Ovis aries: one gene and its partners. The protein of the gene in region 3 interacts with the protein of the main gene of each other region in a biochemical or structural test. Links are inferred from orthologs where the notes say so. Each region holds a gene or a part of one and is shown on either strand. Other genes may lie near its edges.

Evidence for each region.
Region 1: the proteins of ETS2 (region 3) and ZMYND11 form a complex in vitro, tested with the Homo sapiens proteins (2 studies listed by BioGRID). The link is inferred for Ovis aries from reciprocal best matches to the Homo sapiens genes ETS2 and ZMYND11.
Region 2: the proteins of ETS2 (region 3) and CREBBP form a complex in vitro, tested with the Homo sapiens proteins (2 studies listed by BioGRID, with this or other methods). The link is inferred for Ovis aries from reciprocal best matches to the Homo sapiens genes ETS2 and CREBBP.

Annotation. Positions count from the first base shown.
Region 1 is NC_056066.1:46,443,625-46,448,676, reverse strand, and holds part of ZMYND11 (zinc finger MYND domain-containing protein 11), read left to right. Parts: intron 1-1,548; coding exon 1,549-1,636; intron 1,637-2,115; coding exon 2,116-2,171; intron 2,172-3,288; coding exon 3,289-3,366; intron 3,367-4,187; coding exon 4,188-4,306; intron 4,307-5,052. UniProt on the Homo sapiens protein: Chromatin reader that specifically recognizes and binds histone H3.3 trimethylated at 'Lys-36' (H3.3K36me3) and regulates RNA polymerase II elongation. Does not bind other histone H3 subtypes (H3.1 or H3.2).
Region 2 is NC_056077.1:3,655,584-3,660,635, forward strand, and holds part of CREBBP (CREB-binding protein), read right to left. Parts: intron 3,441-5,052; coding exon 3,198-3,440; intron 2,063-3,197; coding exon 1,960-2,062; intron 1,687-1,959; coding exon 1,540-1,686; intron 723-1,539; coding exon 605-722; intron 87-604; coding exon 1-86. UniProt on the Homo sapiens protein: Acetylates histones, giving a specific tag for transcriptional activation. Mediates acetylation of histone H3 at 'Lys-18' and 'Lys-27' (H3K18ac and H3K27ac, respectively).
Region 3 is NC_056054.1:271,782,812-271,788,316, forward strand, and holds the start of ETS2 (protein C-ets-2), read left to right. Parts: upstream 1-2,215; 5' UTR 2,216-2,500; intron 2,501-5,505. UniProt on the Homo sapiens protein: Transcription factor activating transcription. Binds specifically the DNA GGAA/T core motif (Ets-binding site or EBS) in gene promoters and stimulates transcription.

The DNA of each region.
Region 1 (5,052 bases), on a different chromosome or scaffold from region 3:
GCAGTGATTTTGGAGCCCCAAGAAATAAAGTCTGACACTGCTTCCACTGTTTCCCCATCTATTTCCCATGAAGTGATGGGACCGGATGCCATGATCTTCGTTTTCTGAGTGTTAAGCTTTAAGCCAACTTTTTCTCTCTCCTCTTTCACTTTCATCAAGAGGCTTGGAGTAATTTTAAATCATCTGCTCATTCCTTAATCTGCTTAATAGCTGGAAAAACTGAAGGTGTATTATTTTAGTGGAAGAAATGGGCAAGTGAAGGTTGTTCATAAACACGAGCAATTTTAATTTTACCTCTTACCCCTACACTGCGTAACCTCTGCAAACAGTGAAGAGCCTGGTTGTCCCTCCTGCCCTCCCCCCGTGGTGCCCCCACATTCTGCAGTTTGACTCCCTCAGTTCAGGGAGCTCAGTAGCGGGGCTGAGGGTGTCTTATTAGCAAGTGCTGACCATGAGCAGAAGCACCCTGAAGGAAATGAAGAGGAGGAAGACCTGGTTTTTATGCTTCCAAAGGTTTACAGTGGAGACCAAAGTGCGAGCTGTGATGATGCATGCGGACTGCTGGGTGTGGGTGTGCCCACCTGGGTGCAGGCAGGCAGCCTGGTGGTACCTTGCGCCCCTGAACCAAAGACTGAGACGCTCAGGGTGGAGTTTGGGTATCAGTGCTCATGGAAGAGCCCTGTGACCCTCGATGCCAGACAGACGCCATCGACTGTCTTGGTGCGCAGAGGACCAGCAAGGACTTGATTTTAAAACTATGTCAGCCACCTTGCTCTAATTCAGAATTGCCTTGTCTTCTTTGTGGTAATCTGTCACAGAGGCTAACAGCTGTTTCTTCTTTCAGTTTTATTTTCCTGACTTACATAAATGGTTTGCGCTTCTCTGGTGGCTCAGATGGTAAAGAATCCACCTGCAATGCAAGAGACCTGGGTTCGATCCCTGGGTTGGGAAGATCCCCTGGAGAAGGGAACGGCTACTCACTCCAGTATTCTGGCCTGGAGAATCCCATGGACTGTGTAGTCTACAGGGTCACAAAGAGTCAGACACAACTGAGCAACTTTCACTTTCACTTTTCATATTAGTGACTGTTCTCGAAACCAGAGCCCTGAGAGAGTTGCTGAGAAAATTATTCTTATTTTTCAAAGAAGCCCTGTTAATTATAGTACAGGCCTGTGCATAGCATATTCCCTACATGGTACATATGTAGTTAGGTCTCATCAACCCCACTACCAAAGCTTTCATTATGTACAGCACTTAGCCGCAGCTTTTATCATTGTTACAGATGAGATGTTCACACTGCAGTAACAACATGACTGAGAATATGGGACCTTCCGCACTTCACCATCCTGGCATACCCTGAGTGTAGACGGAGTTGTGGGTTTCTTTTATGAACATTCTGTCAGTATGGACACAGGAGCAGTAGACACAGGAGCAGTCGTAATGCCATTCTGGAAAATCTTGCTGTTTCCCACATTCTAACACTGTTAAATTGATGGCAAGTGTTGTCACTATTAACCATTGGCCATTTTGGTTTTTTTCCCTCTGCAGAAAGTGAACGAAGGGAAATACCGAAGTTATGAAGAGTTCAAAGCTGACGCTCAGTTGCTTCTCCACAACACAGTCATTTTCTATGGAGGTTCAATATTTTTTTTTGTGTAGTTTTTTTTATTCATATGTTTACATTGCATGTCGAGAAATATCTTTTATAAAACATTACACTAAAACAATACCTGAACAATCTATAAGTAATAATGTTAGGGTTTAAACTTAAAAATATTTAGTAATATAGATAACTACATATAGCTTATAGAATTGACTGGCCAAAAGCAGAACTCTAGTATTTGTTTTTTCCCTTCAATATCCCCTCATTCAAAAGGAGTGAAAGAGGCCAATCTATACTGAGAGTATTAAGTTGTGTTGAATATAAAATTAAAGTTACCTGCTTACTTTTCTTTTATTGCCTGAATTATAAATACATGTTTTTATTTTCCGTGGTATATGTCCACTTTTGTTAAACTGAAAGAAAATTTAAATGGCTATATGAATTTTGGTAGTCTTGTGCTTCCTGGTAGTCCTGGGATTACTGGTGATAGACACCTGTCTTTATAATTGCAGCAGACAGCGAGCAAGCGGACATAGCACGGATGCTCTATAAAGACACCTGCCATGAGGTACTGTCCACACCTAGCACCTGAATGCTTGCTGTTTCCTACATTAACCTGTTTTAGAATTCCATTCTGATATGTACATTTTAATGTTGCCATTTCTTTAAATATAATCATATTTCCATGTTTGACATACATGGTGTATAATGCAAACAGAGAGACGGGGGCCGGGGGAGAGGCTAGAATTCTGGCAGAACTGTTCTCAGAGACTCTAATTCTGGGAATTAGACTTAGTTACTAAGTAACTTCTAGTGAGAACAAGAGGAAATTGTTTTCCTTAACTACCCTAAAGTGAATTAGTTAATGTGACTGCATGTAAATGTGTTGCACTGGGCAGGCACTCAATAAATGTTACCCTCTTTGAATAAAAGATACAAATTTGAGTTCTTACTACACTACACAGGCAAAAAAGCAGCCCAACATCAGCATTCATAATTAATAATATATGAAATATATATTTAGGAAATTTTTTTTTGGGTGGCCTTTCTTATTTAAAACATTCATCTGTAACCATATTATCTTTGCAAAAGTGTCTCAATTTATATAAAAAGTTTTGTTTCTTTATTCCATTTATGATATGACTTTTCCATTCATTAAACATGTTTATTGAGTGTGTGCTATGTGCTGTGTTAGGAATGAAATAGGGGTCAGGATGCTGGCTTCCTGCTCATACAGCTGTGTTCTGAGGAAGGAGACTCAGGAAAAGGAGAGACAAATTAGTTTCTTTACAAAAGTTACAGAAAATATGAAAGAAAACAGAACTAAAATGGAGAATGAGGCAGAGTAAGGGCTGCTTTTATTGGTAGTGGGTATTTTCTGTGGGCATCTCAAGAAGACATTTCTGGGGGAATAGCCTTTCATCTGTGTGTTGAACTGGAAGGTACCGGTGAGGCTGGGGAGCCAAGGGCAGATGCAGTGCGCCCTGAGGAATCAGTCTTTTCTTTCGAGTGTACTCTGGGCCCTCTTGGGAGGTTCAGACAAGAGAGTGGCATTGGCGAACTCAGCTTTGAAGCTTAGAGTTGAAGACTGGAAACACGAAAGAGAATGCTGCTTTACATGCCTCTCTCTAGTTTTGTGCGTGCATTTATTTTATGGAGGCTAAACAGTTATTTTTCTTTTTCAGCTGGATGAACTGCAGCTTTGTAAGAATTGCTTCTATTTATCAAATGCTCGTCCTGATAATTGGTTCTGCTATCCTTGTGTATGTGAAATTTTGAGATTTTCTTTTTTTTTTTTTAACCTCTTCAGTGTCTCTGATGTACTGCTCTAAGGAAGTTTATTCCAGTTTGGTTTAAGATTATAATCCTTCTAAATATTTCTCTTTATATCATGGTTTTAATGAGTATAGAAAACTGAAACATAGGAAAAAAAACAACTTGGGATCAGTATGCATTTCTGACTTTAAAATGAGAACTTTAAGAATGGGAATAAACATCAAATCCCTTAATAAATAAAAAATTTCATTATCTCACAAGAAATCTAAGTCTTTATGTATAGCTGTGTGATTTCCCCTAGAATGACATGTTAGTGCCAATGGTTTCTCCTCTCCCCACCACAAGGGTATAAGAGCCTGCCTGAGAGCTCCCACTTCCTGAGACATTACAGTGCTCTTCAGGCACCTGACGGTCTCATAAAAATCTGCATCTCTGACTTAGTAGGTTGGGAGGAGGGCCTGAAAATCTCCCATTTCTTACAAGCTTCCAGGGTTGGACTATATTTCATGAAGCAAAGTTAGGGTTTTCAGTTTGCCTTTGGTACTCACATGGGTCTTGGTTTCCTTCCAGAGTTCCATGGGCTGTCAGGAGATTCTTTTCACTCCACATTGCTTATGGAAATTTTAATTTTTTGGTGTGTTTCTTGGAGGCAAAAATCAATCAGTCCTGGGGTGGGGGTACATTCTGTATGTTTAGGACTTATAAAAGAAGTATTGCAAATATTATACCTAAGTAGGTCAGTGTTAATGATAAACTTGTATTTAATACTTTACGAGTAATATGACAAGATAAAACGTTTTATTTCCAGATACCTAATCATGAGCTGGTCTGGGCTAAGATGAAAGGCTTTGGATTCTGGCCGGCCAAAGTCATGCAGAAAGAGGACAACCAGGTTGACGTCCGCTTCTTCGGTCACCATCACCAGAGGTAATCATGACCCGCGAGCCACCATCACCCTGGGCCTTCAGGAGCCCTGAGGTAGACCCAGGCCTGCAGTTCCCCGTGCTCTGGGTACTTTGCCATCAGGAACAATGTGAAGTGTGTTTTAAATTAAAAAACAAACCAGCATATAACTTGACTGGGCACCTTAATGGGACAGTTTCAGTAGCAGAATTTAGAAGGGTGAACTCAGAAGGGTGTCAATGGTGGGAATTAAGTGGAGAGCTTCTTAGGATGGTCCCTTTCACAGAATTGTATTGTCCTTGTGGGAGTTTCTACCAACTTGTCAAGGTTCTGTCAGTCATAGACAAAAATAATCAGCTCGGGAGTATAGGAGAGTGTGGGTCTTGTGATCTAAGAATGGGTATGAGGGAAGAACTTTGACTTAGTGTTTTGAATTTCATTAACGGTTAATTTAGAAAAGTGAAGAATTGTTATGCAGAGCTCACCATGAATAAATATAGTAGATACTCTTTAGCTGGTTCCTCATATCTCTGCACCTAGTGGGGAAAGAAAAGGTAGAGACGTAATTATGGACTATCCCTCCATATGTTCAAACCAGAGCCTGCTGCTCCCTCCCAAGCACAGAGCAGGTTGTGATGCTTTGTCCTGGTGAGCAGGTCTGTGGGCATGCATGTCTGCAGCGCCAACTCTTCATGCTGCCTGTGGTTGGAGGGTGGATGGCACAGGCAAGAAAGAAGGGGCACATCCTGTCAGATCGCGGCCCATCTTAT
Region 2 (5,052 bases), on a different chromosome or scaffold from region 3:
TGTTTGTGTAAACGTGATCTCCGCTTTTCTTCTAGCTCTTTTTGAATCTTGTAGATTTTCTCTGCTAGTAAGTGATAGTATTCATCCTAAAAAGCAGCAACATTCAATACTAGTTATTTGCAAACAAACAACTGATCTGGTTTTGTAGGGTCTAACAAACTAATGAACTTTTAAATTAAAATTATTTACACTGGGTAAAGTATTCAGCACTTCTAACTCATAAACCAAAGCCCAGGGATGCTATGTGACTTAACAGTCAGGGGGTACTAAGTCCTCATGACAGTTCATTCCACAGCTGAACCTCTTCTTGCATACTCACTGACACAGGTGACAACATAGTATAACAACACTCCACTATAAAGTATACCCACAAATTAGAAAAACTTCATTTACCCCTGTAGTGGGGACACTTTAAGATTTTGCAGTTACAAACCAAGAGAGGTATGCAGGGAGGACCTCAAGTCTTAGCTGGGACATCTCCCTGGTCAGTGTCCTCAGGCGAGGAGACCAGCAGGCTGATGGAAGCCCCCCTCCTCCCCACGTCCAGACCTGCAGTCACAGGTCACCCGGGGGCCATGCGGCTGGAACGCGAACGCTGACCCACCCTGCTGTTGGCAGACTCGTACATGTCCCCTTCTACTTTCTTAGCGTAGGCCACCAGGTTCTCCATGCGGCGATCCTTCAGGGCTGCAGGGTCAGGTGTCGGGAAGATGGCTTGGACACTGAAAGGACAGCGCGTACTCTCAACCTACTTTTAGTACAATGTCAACATCCTGCCATTTCAGACGTGACCCGGGAAGAGAAGAAACCGCGGTCTACCTCTGGGCACAGTACATTGCTGAGAGACCCCCAATCTCTTGCCTAGTTCATGCGCAGTCACTCTCTGGAGACAATGCTGATCTGCCAATTTATCCACAAATCAAACACAACAATATTTTGCTATTAACAATAAGTGCTTGACCAACTCAAGAATAATATGATTTTGAATTCCTAATCTTTAAACTACTAAGTACAAAAAATTTTGATTAAAATAATGAAGGAGAAAAAAAAGAAAACTCCATCGGAATCGAGTTGATTAATGTCACCCTTCATTTAACTTAAATTGCTGGAGAAATCAACTATTAATTTCCCATGTTAATTGTATGATGGTATTGTGAAGCCATCCGTATTTACTAGGCCCAAATTCCTGCAATTCTCAGGGCTCCCCACAACTATAGCCTTGAGCCATAAAATAAGACAAGCTTCTGAGTGAGTTCCAGCTCCCCATGCACTGAGAGTTTAGAAAATAGGCCTGCCCCTGTGACATGGGTCAAAGTTCATATTCCTTTCCAGGATCCACTGGGCACTCAGAATCTGGGATCCTCCAGCCTCCCTAAACAAGCACGTGATCCCCTTCAGTTGCAAGGGTATGATCACCTGGGACACAAAAGAACACCTGGGAGTTAAATCAGATACCCAGGAAACTGCAAAACTATCACACTGCCATCAGTCACAAAGTGCTTCCATCACATGTGAGTAACAGGCGAGAGGGCCACGTACAGTTTATGCACTAGATGGCTCCGCAGGTCCTGAGTGACGTGTTCATGCCAGCTTTTCCGAACGCCAGTGCTGGAAGGAGGTGCTGCTGCAGGTATAGTGCTAAGGGTGCCAATGTTCCCAGAGTTTGAGCCATCATTCATCAGGGGGCTGAGGGGAGAGGAAGAACAGGTCATCCAACTGGAAAAGTGACTCACATGACATTCATCCAACTAAGGGTCTTCAACCATATGTGACTTTAAACTCTGTTATCTGTTAGAAAGAAAGAAAGAGGGAGGGAGGGAGGGAGGGGAGAGGGAGAGAGAAGGGAGGGAGGGAAACAGCCCTACACTTTAGAAAGAACCAAGAGTTCTATGTGGTTCCCAGCCCACTTTAACATGTGACTGTCACTCAGACAGGAGCCAAATGAAACAAGGGTCTTACTTTGTAGCCCCAAGGGAAGTTGGAAGAGCTGATTCTGAAATCAAGTTTGGTGGCTGCTGATCTGTTGTTATTCCTCCTGCTGGAATGTTCATTGGGTTATTTCCTGAAAGACAAAAAGAAAAGGAATCAACGAGCTCCTAAATTATACACCTCAAAGTCCTAATAACAGATAAGTCACATATAAAGAAATGATTCTTATGAAAATTATTCTTATGACTCATAATAATAAATGCTATGGCAGGAACTCTGGGAGTTATATTTTCAATAATGGTGGTCAAATTGTATAAATTCAATTGCTTCCCATCGCACTTGAAAACCAAAGAAGAGCATTTCTACGGAGGCTGGCTGGCAGCATGAATGCTTGGCGGCTATGGAAAAAAATCAGAAATGATCCATCTGCAGCTTCGGTTTTGATTCTGGCTTCATTCCCATCACATACACTTCTTCATCTTTTTGTTTTGCATATCAGAAGATAAAAATCATAGAAATTAACTTCACGTGAAGAAGACAAAAGGTCAATTTGTCTACAGTATTCGTTCTAAAGTAAGAGAAAGGTGGGATGCAGGTTAATAGTCTTGTTCCAGATTATACCACCAACAGAAGTGGTGTCAGACTGGAAGGGACATTTCAAGACTCCAACCCAGTCTTCTAGCCAGCAGGAGTCAGAGATGCATTAGGGCAACTATTTCCCAACACGCAACAGATGAAGTATCTTTAAAGTGAAAATACTTTATTAGGAAAAGAACCAAACCACCACAACAACCCTGTTCTGAGATCCCTGTTAGCTTGGCCGGATTCAGACTGGTCGGCTCTAGTCACACGTAGTCCACAACCAAGAAATGCTAGGAGCTGCAGAGTCAAGGCAAGTGGTACTGCCCTAATTCCAACCTGTGAGATTTTGCATTCTGAGCCATGTGAAATGCCCTTTATGAAAACTATCCAGACACAAGTGACAAAAATGTTGGTTCATTTGCAAATGTGATTCATCTTACAAGCCTGTAACATCTTCAGTGTACCTGACTCTTTAGCCTTTTCCTGGAATTTTTTTATTTTAATCATTTAAAAGACACCATTCACCATAATATATATATTTGAATTTTATTACATATATATATATTTAAATTTAAAATTTGAATTTAAAGTAAAACAGTAGCTGAAAACAGCCCTGGGCTCCAGAAGGCTCGTCATTCCCGACACTGCATTTGCACAAGGAAGTTCTCGAGAGTCCTTTCACCTACCCAGGGGGTTGAGACTCCTCATCTGCTGGTGAGTTTGAGGCTGTGCTGGTTGCTGGCCAGGAACCTGAGGCTGCAGCTGCGTCTGGGGCTGGTTCAGGTAGGGGAGTCCAAGAGCAGCATACGCTCGTTGCATGGAGCTGGGGTCTATCGGATTTGGGTTACTTAAAGAAGTGGCATTCTGTTGGCCGGTGCCAACAGAACCAATGGTGTTTTGAATTCCACTAGCTGGAGACCCCAGGATGGCTATAAGAACAAACAGACAAACACAAGAGATAAGTAAAAGGGAAAAGTCTACAAGTGAGTTAAAAACGACTGAAAAACAAGTAAAATTTTATCAGAAGACCACCTATGTATATCATGAAGCACTGGAACCCCGCTACCAAGAAAGGAACTGTGCAGACAGAAGGAGCCCATTCTATTAATTTCATCTGCACAGCGGCACCCGAAGAACAAAAATCTGAAGAGAATTCAAGCTTCTATGTTAGAAAACAACGGACCAGAAAATCAGCGATCACACAGTCAAGGTCAGCGTGTATTAAATGTAGAGGCTCATAAGAAGTCTGTTCTGGGGAAACAGCAAACATGGGAAAACATGGGGGTCATCAGCCTCCACTGAGGCGAGCTAAGAAGCCCCTCCTGCTGCTGCTCCTCGGGGTCCCTCACTGCTCAGTGCACAGGCACAGAGGAGGAAGAGGAGGAGGAGCGGAGGAGACGCCTAGTTGGTCAGTTCTGTTACTTATTAACCTAATTAATATCTTAATTACTAAAGGTATCAAGTAACAGTAACTTAATTACGATCTCTGACACAATCTTCCAAAAAACAAAACTGCATTTCCTTGAACCCATGGTGTACAGTGACCAGGCAACACCACGCCTTTCTCTGCTCCGAGTTTCCTACGTGGGAGGGCACGATGCTAAGCTCTCTGCTATGTGAAGCTGTTCAAGAAATACCGTGGCTGACTGAGGAAAATCTGTAGCAACATAAAGAGCTCCATTCCCAAGGGCTTCAAAGTTAACAGAGAAGACCCAAATACCCATCTGTCCGTCTGTCTGTCCATCGTCCAAATGTCCTAATCGATTCAACATATGGCAGAAGTTCTGCATCATACCACTGATTCTTATTTTTAACAGTTCCTTTCTTTCCAACTTCCCCAAACTTCAGAGCCATGTCATAAACAGCAGGTTATAAAACTGATACTATAACATAAGATCTTTGAGACATAAAACACTATCACAAAATTTTTCTTTAAAATTCAGACCATTACTGTAATAATAATATCTTCACATCACCATCAGCACAATTATAATATAAACAACTCAAACACTTATCCGAGTAACTTAACGAAACCAAAATGTGTTTAAAAAAAAGCCCTTGATAATTACATATTCCATACTATTTAACTTTTCTAAGAAGAATATTCAGATCTCAAACTCATTAATGCTCATTAGACACAATTATATACACCAAGCACCTCATTATTATAAATGAAAAGCAATTTCCAAGGTACATTTTATGATAAGTATGTAGCTCTTAAATAAGTCATGTATAATACTTTTAAAGGTATTTTTTCTAATAGTTAATACTCCACGAAACTTTAAGCACATGCCATTGTACTACTGAAACTGACATGCTGACTCATCTAAAGGAAGTGCAGTGGAGAAAGGCAAGTGACAGTGCTAAGATGACTTGTTTTTCTATTACTCTGTGGGGTAAGGAGGAACAGACCTAGGCCTATATTGACTTGCATATTGATCAACTGCGGAGAGAGAGGAATTTAAAGAAACAAGGTGTACAAGGCTTTGGGTTTTGGGTGAAGATGCAATAGCAGTGCCTCAACAATGATTTCTTTCTACT
Region 3 (5,505 bases):
AGGAATGATTTTTTTCATATATTAATGTATATATTTTAAAGGATTTTTCATAAAATGCTCCCAGAGGGGAGCTTGGAAAAATACATGTAATAGCTATATCATTTTGAACCTCTCTCTACCAGGTGATGGACAAATCTGCAAATTTGGCTCTGTGCTGAGCTCCCATCACAGCCTAATGATATAGGTGGCATAATCACCCCTTGCTTCTATACAGTTGAGAACCGCCCCAAGGTTTAGCAAGTCAGAGCACAGGGAAAGCTCGTTGTCACAAGCGGACTGTCTTCAAAATCCTGTGACCCTTCTTTTGATGATGTCTTTCTGCTCAGATGTGCTGGAAACGCCCCTCCTCTCTGAGCTCTTCAAGGAAGAAAGATGTCTTCCCAAAGATCACTGGGTCTCAGGGGCCCCCTAGCCCTGATACCCATGGATACGGGAGCAGCTGGGCAACTGAACTTGACTTAATGGCTGTGTTTTCCAAGTTTCTCAGATGCTTTCAGTAGCCTAGGGGGAAAGTCCCTCTGTTAGCTGAAACTGCAGCCCGAATGAGTCAGTATTTTCCGGTACAGTTAAAAAAAAATAAAAAGGTAGCATACTCTTCATGTCTCCATGGTAACTTACTATGGATCTGTATCCCACTTATGAAATTCCTTCCTGATCTATCCATCTATGATTTCTGATCCAGGCCTGAATGTACACAGAGAAGCCATTAAAATCCGTTCAATCTGCTGGAACTATCAACCGTTTCTGCTCCTGGTGATTTGAGCTGTATAGACCCGGCCTCTGACCTATGCAATGGTGAGTCCTGGAGACCCTCAGGTACCTGTAAACATTAAGGTGCAATACTATCTCAGTTATCTGAACAACTCCTGGGTTCAGGGTTGCCATGGAAACCGGGAACGTTGGCAACAGAGAAGTGAAGGCTGTCTCCCTCTCCCTTCACAGCACTGCGGTTTCTGAGATGCACCAACTTCCAGTCCCTGGCCTTGCCTAAGCTGAGCTATTTCATTCTACACCCACCTTTGGGAAACTAAATCTTCCACCAAAATACTGAGAATCTGATCTGAATCTGAATAGGAAATGTGCACATTTCTAGCCAGAGACTCAAGTATTTCCTGCTAAAAATGGAAACGGGAGGTACCGGTCACAGTTTTGACCATAGTTGGAAGTCAGATAAACTGGAGTTTCAACCCTGAATCTCCCATTTGTGTGTCTTCTGACTGGGCAAGTTATTTGCCCTAAGGGTCAGTTCTCTCATATATAAAGCGAGGACAATGAGGCCTTGGAGAATTATCACGGAGGACTAGCCCAGGCGCTAGAGGTAAAGAACCCGCTTGCCAATGCAAGAGATGAAAGAGATGCTGGTTCAATCCCTGGGTTCAAAGATCCCTGGAGGAGGAAATGGCTATGCTCTCCAGCGTTCTTGCCTGGAGTATTCCATGGACAGAGGAGCCTGGCGGGCTACAGTCCAGGGGGTCGCAAAGAGTCTGCACGACTGAAGCCACTTGGCACAACCCAGGGAAGCCCAGCCAAGGCTGGTTATCACCAAGGCACCGCTCAACTCTAGGGGCGCTTCTCACACGGAGGCTGCAGGATTGGGGCGAGGGGGGTGCTTCCCGGAGCAGGGGGACTTCGTGACTGACCGAGGGTCCACTTCGTACCTTTGTCATCTCAGCGTGTTTCCCGACAGAACGCTCGGAATAAAAACTATCGGAAATCATAAGTCCATAAGCATGTCCAAGAATGGGGCCACAGTGAGTCCCCCGGTGGACCAAACCCCGCGGCCACTCGGTGGCACCAGCGCTAGCTAGCTACTCCGGTCCTGCCAGGGCACCTTTGGGGATTAAAGCGGCGGACCCGGGAAAGAAAGAAAGAAAGATTCGTCCTGAGCTCCCGGGACACACACGGCTCGGGGCGCAGGACTTTCGGAGGCCCAGACCCGCAGCGGCCCTGGGTGAGCGGCCGCCGAGCGACAGCAGGCGCCGGGCGAGGTCCGACTGGGCAGATCCGGCTCCGCCTCCGGCTCCGTGCTCCTCCCCTCCCCTCGGCCCCTCCTCTCCGCACGCAGGCTCCCCGCCTGGCCCCTCCGCCGCCCCTCCTCCTCTCTCCCCTCCCCCTCCGCCCCGCCTCCTTGTCCCTATGTCCCCTCCCTCCTCCCTCCTCCCTCCTCCCCCCGATACCCCGGCTCCAGAAGAGCGCGCGGCGGAGGGGACCGGCCGGTTACTTCCTCCGGCGGCGGCGCTGAGCGCGGTGCAGCCACAGCCCGGATCGCCCCGATCGCCCCGAGCCGGCCCGCCGGCCCTGGCCCGCCGAGGCCTCGCGGATCTCCCGGAGCCCGCCCGCCGTCCCCGGTCCGCCCCGGCCTTCCCGAGCGCCCCGAGCCCGTCCGCCGCCCCCGGGCTCCCCGAGCACCCTACTCGCGCGCCCGCGCCCGCGCTCTCGCCGGCGCGCACCGAGGAAGCCCGGGCTTCGAGCCCCGGGCGGCCCTGCCCGAAGCGGCGCGGTAAGAGCGGGGTCGGGCCGGGTGGGGTGGCTGGGGTCCGGCGGGGGTCGGCGGGCGGGGAGCGCCCTGCGGCGCTCGCTTTTCTCCCGGGGAACCCAGGAACCGAGTTGGGGACGCGGGTGGCGCCCCAGATCCCCGGGGCGCAGCTGGTGTCCAGGCAGGGTGGCGACTATTCGTGGGATTCTGGGGTCGCGCGTCCAGGATCGGTCCGCTTGGGGCTCTTTCCCTGGGTGGCCGAGTGGCTTTGGGGGTAGGTGGGTGGGCGGCGAGCAGGGTTCGAGGTGGGCCCGGCCGTGACGCGCGGACCCGGCTCCGAACTTGGGCCGCGGGGCCTGGGGTCGCCGAGGCGGCTGGGGCGGGCCGGGCGCGCCGGCTTGTTTCACTTGCTTTTGTTTTAAAAGGAAAGGCAGGCGTGAAGGCGGGGGTGGCTCCTGCCGGTGGGCGCCGGGCGAACCTGGTTTCGCCTGGGGGCTTGGGGGACGCGCGAGAAGGTGTCGGAGGGGCCCTGGCGCGCCCCAGTTTGCCGGTGACTTACCGGAGGGCGCCGGGCCCGGCAAGATCCGGGGCGCCTGAAACACCTGAGGAACTGCGGCTCCCACCCCCGCTCCCGGTCACCTGCGCTGTCGCGTCCGGGGCCCGGCCAGGGCGGCAGGCGACGGGGGCCCGGGGAGGGTCCGGCGGCTCTACCGAGACCCCCGCGGGCTCCCCAAGACCTCTGCATTCGGGCCCCTTGATGCCGGGAGGTGAACGTGGGGACAGTGTCGGAAATGGGCTTATGGGTGCGCAAGGCTGCCTCCAGTTTCGGGATCTTACAGCATTTTGGACGAAGGGGTAACAGCGCTTGTGCGTATATGGCCTTTTTTTTTTGTAAGCACTCGAGACTTTTGTATTGGCCTGTATTCAATTGTAGGGTATCCTAAAATAGTATTTGACCTGCAGTTTATTTAGGGAATAAAGAAATGAGCAGCCCCCTTTGGAGATAGGGGTAATTAATTTTAATTTACCGGTAAGAGATTCATCTTGTTCCGTGCAGTGGAAGCGCCTGTGCGATTTCTGCCGTCTCACACCGCCACCAATCAGGGAGATAAATCTCTAAGTTAAGGTTTATTAAAATTATGAATAATATCACAGTACAGTAAACTAGAGCACTGTGTGTCCTGCAGGGAAATAGTCTAACACTCATTTCTGGGATTAGTCTTTCCTCTCCCTAAATTGATAGCTTTCAAAGGAAAAAAGAAAACCAATCTTCAAAAGTGCGCTTAGGGTTTGATTTTTTTTTTTTTTTCCTTTTTCAATTTGCCTAAATGCAAACCTGTGCTCTAATCTCGCAGAAGCAATCACTTGTTCCCATAAGGGTCCTGTTGTTGAGCAAGTTCTACTTGTTTTAAAATTGAACATGTCTGCCATTTACCCAATTTTTTTTCTGTTGTTGCTCAAGAGCAGCGATCAATAGGGCAATGGCAGAAAGGCCTGAATGTGAAATTGATTTATGTGGACTGATGTGGCCTGTCTGCTATCTTCACAAGCCATGTTGAGTAGAACTGTTGTTTAGACGCTGTCACGTCTCACTCTCTGCAAACCCATGAACCCCGCCAGGCTCCTCTGTCCATGGGATTCTCCAGGCAAGAATACTGGAGTAGGTTGCCGTTCGCTTCTCCAGGGGATCTTCCCAACCCAGGGGCTGAATCTGTGTCTCCTGCGTTGGCAAACAGATTCTTTACCACTGAGCCACCTGTGAACCTGTTGAGTAAAACGGGAACTTAAATTTGATTAGCTAAGTGTTTGCCAGAAACCACTGGTAGAGCACTCTGATTCTACATGGTTTTTACAAAACAAATTAAAAGCCGGACAACAAAAGAATTCTATTCCGCAGCTGGTAATTAGAGCTCTTTATATGGGAGTGGTAGACTGCCTTTCCTCGCAGAATTTGTACACAAAAACCAGGCGAGGCTGCTCCATGGCCTTCCACATCTATTCTCGGTCCATCTCCGTGGAGCTCAAGAATGTGGAATAAAGTCTGCCCATCTGGAGAAGGAGATGGGTAACTGACGACACCCCAGATATCCTTTCATTTTGATCTCCTGTTTTGAGGCTTGCTGATGTCATCAACAGGTGACAGGGCTGCTTTCATGCAGATTGGTGGCATAAAGCTCTCCATTAAGGAGCATTTTGCATCTGTGCAAAGTCTTCGAGCAGGAGTCTAGTCTTGTGGTATCTGTGTGTGATCTCTGCTGTTTACTGCTGGGAGGAGGGTCCAGGCCTCACCATTCAGGGGATCCTGGCTCAAGGCGGAGCTCAGGTCGCACCATACCCCCAATGGGATTTGGTCTGCTCCGTGCTCCTGAGGGTCCCCCCGCCCCCAGTAGTAGCCCTGAGATCCTGGGCAAAGTCCTGGGACAGGGGGGTCTCTGTAGCCTCTCAGTCAGATGGCATAACATCTACCTCTCAGGGATGTCAGACTGTTGAGTAAGGTGGCAAGGTGTGGTCCCTCAGCTCAGGCTTAGGTCTTTGAAAGGAGGAACCTACTAGGGCAGTGATCATCCATAGTGTATATTGATATTTGATTGGCCACCCTGATGATGACCTGCCCTCAGAGGTTTTTAACAACTCCCCCCAGCCCCCAGGTGGCTCGGTGGTAAAGCATCTGCCTGCCAGTGCAGGAGACACAGGTTCCATCCCTGGGTCAGGAAGATCCCCTGGAGGAGGAAATGGCAACCCACTCCAGGATTCTTGCCTGGAAAATTCCATGGACAGAGGAGCCTGGCGGGCTCCAGTGCATGGGGTCATGGAGTCTGACACGACTGAGCGTGCACACCACCCCCACCCACATACACCCAGTGCCTCTGGCCTCCCCTGTGGCAGGGACTCTCCTCCCACACTGCCTTTCTAGCCAAGGAGGTGTGTCTGTGTCTGTATGCTGAGTCCTTAGGAGGTCTGGTTTAGCCATAATGTTGACCAAAAAGGGAAAATAAGAAAGGACAAACTCGAATTAAGTAGTTACAGGA